2 linked regions of the Tribolium castaneum genome follow. The protein of the gene in region 1 interacts with the protein of each later gene in a pairwise test. Links are inferred from orthologs where the notes say so. Each region holds a gene or a part of one and is shown in the gene's direction. Other genes may lie near its edges.

Region 1 (4,168 bases):
ACTATGGTGATAAAATTTTTTATACTTTGTAGGAGTATCCCAAACAATTTTTTCATTAATGATTTGTCCAGGCAATATTACAATGTTATCGATAAAATAGCTAATAATACCTAACATTTTTTGTTGAAAAGAGAATTAATATTTTATTGAGGTAAACAATGGGTTCGTATTTTTTAAAAAAAATTTAAAGTTTTCGTTCAATTCGTAGAGGTGAAGAAGTTTAAATACGTATTTATTTAACTACATATACAGGGTGACCCAGGGGTGGCCGGTGTTACCGGTCTATAATTTTTTTGCTATTTAAAATATAGTCATACCGTTTTTATTACATAAACTAAAAATATTTTTATTATACACTAGGTGTGGTGAACAAAAGATATATTATTTTTAGTAGAACACCCTAAATATTTTTGCATAATTAAATTCTACACAAAAAATAATGTAACTTTGTATAAATTATTATAGGTCTATCTGTTTTCGTTTCGAAACTATTCAACTTTTCGTTATAAAAAAGACCAATTTTTGAAAAATCACTACAAAGTCGCCAATGAATATTTTCTGAAAATTTACCACAGAAAAACTCAGAATACCTTGCAGTTTTACCTAAATAGTCGACTTTTACTTCACAAATGTTAAAAAAATTAAACAATTTTTTTTTTCAAATGGAACACCATGTATTTTTTAGACATATCGATAGCATTTTGCATAAGGTTTCTAATGGTATACGGTTTGCATAGCAAATTTAAGACATTTTTCGAGATTTAAAAAAAAAAAACATTTTAGTACAAGAAAATTTGTTATCTTAAAAGTCAAATGGTAATTTATTTTTTGATATATACTAATGTGATTAATTACATTAGTATTTTAATTATTACTTGATACATAAATTCACTTTGCTCATCAAAAATTAATAATAAAATAAATAAAAAAGAACATTTTTTTAACACTTTAAGAAATATTCAAATTTGCTATACAAACCGCATATCATTAGAAAGCTTATGAAAAATGCTATCGATGCGTGTAAAGAAATATATGGTGTTTCATTTGAAAAAAATGAGTTATTCAACTTTTTGTGTTTTGGCACACCCTGTACATTACCTGCGTGTTTCAAGTAAAAATCGACTACTGCTATAACTACGGGATATTCTGAGTTTTTCTGTTACAAATTTATCGAAAAATATTCATACGCGACTTCGCAGTGATTTTTGAAAAATTGGCATTTTTTATAAATTTTTTAATAAAAGAACCACAATTCTGAATCTTATTGTTTTCATTTATTCATTGTTATTATTACTTATTAGATATTTATCTAAAAATTACGTAATTTTTGCACCTTTCACTTTACATATCCACCACCAATCACCATCAAGGATAAACAGTAACAAATTTGCAGCTTGAATCTGAATTTCTTTGTTTTTGAAGCTGATTTTGATTGAATTCTTTCACGGAATGTCGTAAAATGGGTTAATTGTCTTAATTAAAATTCGCTTACATTGTGAAAAACGGAGCGTAAAATTCAAAAATGGCGCGGCGCATGCGCGGCCCCTTGCACGCCGCCTGCATATCGGCAAGTGTAGTAACCAACCGTGCATCCGTCATCGTCATCACCCCAAGTGGCGTCATGTAAATCCGTTAAACTCCTCCACCTCTTCGAGACCGCTTCCTCCGAAAAACCCTTGGTAAACGTCGTCGTGTCCGCGTTTTCGTCCATGGAGAACTCAAACTCGGAAGGCGTCGTCCTACCGGACATTTCCGAAGCCGAACAGCTCGCGAGCGAGCACGATGGCGGCGAGAATGGCGACTCCTCCGTGGACGTGAAGCAGGCGCGCGTCTCCGCCGTCTCGGTGCGCCATGCGGGCGTCCCGGTGTCCCTGCCGGTGGGCTCGCTCATCACCAGCACCTTCAACGTCATCACCCAGGACCAGCTGCCCCACTTCAAGCCGATGCTGTGCGTCGACAACAACGGCTACATCGCCACCGACGGCTCGGGGGCCGAGCTCAAGACCATCGTCATCCAGGGCGACGTCTCGGAGGCGGGGGCCGTCTCCACGCCGGTGACGGTGTCCGGGCCCAACCTGGGCTCGTGGAACGAGGCGGCGAGTCTGCCGGTGCTGCCGGTCAGGTGCAAGAACACCTCGGCGGAGCTGCACAAGAACAGGTTCGGCTCGGGGGGCAGAGGCCGCTGCATCAAGTTGGGCTCCAGTTGGTACACGCCGAGCGAGTTCGAGGCGCTCTGCGGAAGGGCCTCCAGTAAGGACTGGAAGAGGAGTATTAGGTTCGGCGGGAGGAGTCTGCAAACGTTGATTGATGAAGGTATGAGGGGGCTCCAGAGGGACCCTTTAAAACACAGAATTGTGTAACATTTCAAATGGCAACGTTGCTCCATTCAAGTTTGAGATCATGTTTGCTTCCGGGTGAAAGTACCTAGTGGAAGAAAGAGGGATTTTCGAGTTATGTAGCACTGAAAAGGGGAAACTTACCCATAACACAAGACAAGTTGTGGTATTATCACACTGATTTCACGTCAAAATAACCATAACATAGATAATAATAATAATTAGAATTTACGCTAAATAACGTTAATTGATTTTTCCTTCAAATTATGTTTTTTCTGAAAAACAAAACATTTTTTTTTAATGAATTATTTGGAAATGCTAGTATTACCTAATTTGAATAAAAAATAAAAGAGCCTCTCAAAGTCCGAAGTGGTCAAAATATAGTTTATGGTGTGCACGTGTGTAACATTGGTTGTATATCATTTCATATGATTCTTTTAGGCCCTACATTAGAAACTTTATAACTTCTAATGTAGCTAGAAATTTGAAATTTTGTATATTATTCCAGTCAATTTCAGTTCAACTAAATTATTTTCCAAATAACTGAATTTCCAGAACTACGAGAAATTGGCGGAAACTTTGAAATGTTAGTTGGTAACCACCTATTTTTACTCTACAGGGTGCTCAAAAAGTGGCGCACCAACTCAGTGGTACGTTATTGAGAAGCAAGTGCAGATTACGGGAAAAATGTTGAAAAAATTCCTAGTCATATTTTAAAAAATCTGGAGCTGCAAACTTATTGTGTTAACTTCTTTAGTTTTCATTATTTTTTATGTTTTTATGTTTCATACCAGGTAATCGTTCCGTAACAAAACGATGAATAATTATTTTTAAATGTACTTTCAGACTTTAACAGTTTTTTTAATTTAAAAAAATTAAAATTTAGCCAAAAAATCACAATGTGTAGATGTGCCAACACTGGGAATTATTTCCTAGGAAACCGTTTCAAAAATGATTTATTTTTATTGTTGCTCAAATTCTATTCGGAAGTAAAATTACCGTTGGGGGCGCCACTGAGCTAAGTCGAAAACAGTAACCATAAATGGCGGGAAAATGTTTATTCGGATATTTTGAGCGTTGTACGAATTTTGGGGCTTCACAATTATTGCATTGCCTATGCGGAATGATTATTGTATCTTTGATGCAAAAAACTTCTGTTGACAAATGAGAGATGACGAGGAAAACACGAATAACGAATGACTGTTTGGTTCACTTTCTTTATTGGAAAATTACTACAAAGACATTGAAAAGCCTACCTTTTGGCATAATTTACGTTTAAATGTATCAGCAGTTGTTAATCTTTATTGTAGTTTTGTAGATTTACCGCAGCATTTCATGATTTTTTCAGTGGAAAATTCTAACCTAAAATTCACACACTTCACTAATTTATTGGTTTCTTGAGCCAAACTTTGTGTTCGCTGTGATCCATTACTTATAATCTTTAATTAGACAACTGTTTGATAACACTTTGTAATCAAAATTTAAATATTTTTCACTTTTTATCCACTTTCAAGTTCCAACAATAAACACTTTATACCACGAAAAACGACAGAACCAAAGTCAAAGCTAGTTTTTACCACCACGTACTTTTAAAGTGATTCTTTCTATTGTAAGTAATTAACACTATACACGCAAAATTGTTGAACAATTCATTAAATGTCAGTTAAATGTGGAATTTTTACTGTTTTCGACATAGTTCAAAAGTCAACACCAGAGGGCGTCTAGTTAATTTTATTTCTGAATTGCGATCATGACTGTTAGACAACGTTGCCACATATCATTTATCTAAAATCTGTTATTTATCAATAACTTTAATACAAAGATTTTTTTTA
Region 2 (4,015 bases), on another chromosome or scaffold:
TATTTATATTTATATTTATATTTATATTTATATTTATATTTATATTTATATTTATATTTATATTTATATTTATATTTATATTTATATTTATATTTATATTTATATTTATATTTATATTTATATTTATAATTATAATTATATTTATTTACTTATATATTTATGTCCAAACCAAGATATTTTTTCGAAGTCCTTTCTCTCAAATAATGAGTCTTTAAGCATGATAACTATTTACGATGTATTACATTATCCAGGATTTTATTTATGCGAATTTTTTTACTCACTGGTCAGCTATAGTTTAATTTGCAGACCCACTTTTAGCACATTAATTTGGAAATAAAAGTTGTTATGTATAATTTTTTAACATGATTTTAAATTTTGACTTAAATTTTATCACAGCCTGTGCCAGATTATAATTTTTTGAACAATTGCTAAAATAAACTGCCTTTTGCAATCCTAAGAAAAAAAACCTTAAAAATTTGTTGGCGTTGCTCTTTTATGGTTTTATTATTGTTTTTGCTTCCACAATATATTTTTTTTAGTTTTATATGTTTTATAAATAATTATTGGACTTAACACTGTGTCACTCTAAAATTACGCTCAACTGTATCTGTAATTTTTGTAAATAATATCGTTTGCAAGACTTTATCCTTTGTTTGAAACTATTTATTTTCTGAGTTACGCTGTTGTCGCTATAAGGTTTAGAATTATCAATAAATTTTACTGAAAAAAATTCTTATTATGGTTAAGTAATTTAAAAACAGTAATCGATTTGTTGAAATAGAGACGTAACCATGGTTACAAAAAAACAAGTGTCATCGGAACAATAGACAATCATTGTTGCTAATTCGATAAAAATAAATATTATTATTTATTACGTCACGCATCATACGACATGAAAATGACGGCATCGTTCACTAATAACAATAAATGACGTGGCACTTCCTTATTTGCAAAAATCACCCGATTTGAGTGATTTTTCCCCCGAATGATAATACGTCAATGACGCAAAATTTATTAATAGCCCGAAAATCGGTGCGAATTTCGATCGATTGCAGCAATTGCTATTTATAGCGCAATTATGCAACAAAAATAATAACTCAGATAAGATGACCGATGACATAATATCGATAAATCGTCGTCATTGTTTCGATGTTCGTGCCATTTCATCGAATTTCCGCCGCATGCGTATGTCATTCGGTGTCGCGTCCGAGCGAGGGGAACAAAGATGGCTATGGCTCTATCCGCCATTTTCTAAAGTGAGATAGACTAAAGTGTTTTTCGTGAAAATAGCATGTTTGAGGCGGAAAAGCGCAATATTTCCGTGGAAAAGTGTTAAAATCCGGTCGAAGAACATAGTTTTGGGGCTGTGGCGATGCGTCGCATTGAAAATTAGTGTTTTTTCCGGTGTTGAAAATCGGCGTCTCTGTGGAAACAGCGCCGTGTGAGAGTAAAGGTAAATGGTTTTCTTTGTTACTTCTACACTTATTTCATTTCAACTTTATCAGCGTCTTTGTTGTAAAAAGAGATAAATTTGAGCGAGATGTGAGAGTTTTGAAATGCGACTGATTGACGGCGCTCTATGGCTAAATAGACATGTGGGGGGCGCATGCCGCGCCCAAGGGAACGGTTTGGGGGGTTTACCGGCATGGGGGGGTTCGGTTTTGCCGGTGTGGGCACTTTTCTGCACGAATTTAGGGGGTTTTGGTAGCGATGCCGGTATAGAATTTTGATTAATTTCAATTAATTTAATTAATCGAAACGTCGTTTTTTTGATTTATTGTAGTTATTTAGTCAGTCCAGTGCTAAAAAAACGGCCGGTGGGGGAGCTACGGGTCCGCGCTCCGAAGAAATCTACATATTTTGGTTTGAAACTTTGCTAAATTTTGTTTTTTCTTTAGTCTTTTTCACACCAAGAAATATTTTATACGCATAATAATAGTTATTTATTTTTTAATATAAAAATTTACTTGTGGATTATACAGGGTGTAACGAAAAGATGGGGATAATAGCTCAAAATTCAAAAATTATTTTCGATTTTCTTTAACAATTCTTAATGGAATTATGGTTTTAGATAAAATTTGGTATAAGTAATTTGCTATCAATACCAAAAAAAAAACAAAAAAGTCATTTTTTCACAAAGTTGTGAATTCTTAAAAGTCGTTCGATTTTTACCAAACACAAGTAATTAAAATAATGATTAAATAATCAAAAGAATTTTTAACGCTTCTACTATATATTTTTTATACGAAAAATAAGGCCGATATAAAAATTAATTATTTAAAATTAATGGGTCTTCGAATAAAAAATAATAATTACAATTACAACAATAATTTACAAACTACAGGGTGTTTCAAGTTTTATGGCAGAGGCAATAATAAATATTTCTAGTCTAGTAAAAAATTATTTTTCTAGTAAAAAAATATGTTTATAGTCTAAACGATAGGGTATCTTGGTTACGCTACTATTTTATACTTTGATTATGTTCAAAATTTTTAAGGTATTGCTGTAAACAAGTTTAAAAGAATATTTTTTCAGTTATTGGCGTATTTTCTGTATGATAATATTCCTTTAATTTTTATAACCGTAATTTTATCCGTACATTTTAATATTGGAAATTGGAAATTCTGACCTGATCACCAATTGCTACAAAGCCTGCCCATAAATTTTTCTACAGTCTGTTCCATCTAAACCCACATTAGAAATATTGAAAGTTTTAAAAGAGATATTTATTTGAAAGTTGGTACTCAGCTATAATCCGTTGAGTTCTGCTCAATGAAAATATTTTCAAGATGGTGGCACTTCCGGTTATACCGGAAGTCGCTATCAACTTTCTTATTTTAAATGGAAAGCTATGTTTTTCACTGCGTTTTTGGATTTGCTGAGTTATTTTAAGGCCGTTTTTATCAGCTTTCCCTATACCTAAGTTTAACCGTTTTCGAGATATTTAAGATTTTTGAAAAGTTTTGGATTTGCACCTGTCACTTAAAAAATCGGCAACTCTCTTAATTTTAGAGATTTCGAAATCATATTTGGAGAATTTAAAGAGAAAGCCCAAATCTGTTCTTCAGTGTGTTCAAAATTGGTAAAGAAGTTAATAAACCCAAAACTTCAAGTACCCATAACATAATTTTTTCAAATGGGATGCCCCAATTTTTATTTTACTAGATGGAGGAGAATTTTTTTCTGCATCGATCTGTATTAGCATTCCCTATACCTATGTGTGATAATTTTCAAGTTATGTCTGTTTTTTTGACATTGTAGAAATTTTCTTACTAACCACAGCTATTTTTGCATAGTTGACCGTAAAAATATTTCTGATTAAACAAACGACAAACTCTGTTCAAAATTGTGTTGTCCGTCCTGTAAGAACAAAATAAATTCATTGAATGTTGGTTTAAAAAACTTTAATTTCTCACATTTTTTCTCTCGTTTCCATGGCTACCTACGAGAAAAAGCCTACTGCTAATGAATTTCTCAATCCCAACAAAAAGTTATCGCAAGTTGAAAACTATTAAACATAAGTATAGGGAATGCTAATACAGATCGATGCAGAATTAAATTCTCTACGATTTAATGAAATAAAACGTGTGGCATTTCATTTGAAAAAATTGAGTTATGGGTGCTTAAAGTTCTGAAAACATAACTTTAAATATTTGGGGTTTGTTATTCTTTTTTAGAAATTTGAAAACGCCAAAGGAAAGATCTAGGCTTCCCCTTCCAAATGAGCTAAAAAATATTTCCAAATTTTTAAAAATGGCGAAGTTATCGATTTTTGAACTGGAAGGTGCAAATCCAAAAAAAAATTAAAAACCCGAAATATTTCGTAAACGGCTAAATTTAGGTATAGGGAAAGCTTATGAAAACTACCTTAAAATAACTCTAGTAATCCAAAAACGCATTAAAAAATATAGCTTTCCATTTAAAATAAGGAAGTTGATAGCGACTTCCGGTATAACCGGAAGTGCCACCATCTTGAAAATATTTTCATAGTGCAGGACCGAAGCGATTATGGTCG

What was found.
Region 2: the proteins of Deaf1 (region 1) and transcription factor Clamp interact in a two-hybrid assay, tested with the Drosophila melanogaster proteins (2 studies listed by BioGRID). The link is inferred for Tribolium castaneum from reciprocal best matches to the Drosophila melanogaster genes Deaf1 and Clamp.

The regions. Positions count from the first base shown.
Region 1 is NC_087394.1:24,926,925-24,931,092, reverse strand, and holds the start of Deaf1 (deformed epidermal autoregulatory factor 1), read left to right. Parts: upstream 1-1,309; 5' UTR 1,310-1,709; coding exon 1,710-2,313; intron 2,314-4,168. UniProt on the Drosophila melanogaster protein: Transcription factor that binds the homeotic Deformed (Dfd) response element. High affinity binding sites contain at least 1 TTCG motif surrounded by additional TCG sequences.
Region 2 is NC_087401.1:13,233,135-13,237,149, forward strand, and holds the start of transcription factor Clamp, read left to right. Parts: upstream 1-1,186; 5' UTR 1,187-1,453; intron 1,454-4,015. UniProt on the Drosophila melanogaster protein: Transcription factor involved in X-chromosome dosage compensation in males, the process by which transcription of the single X chromosome in the male is elevated. Binds to the DNA sequence (GA)n.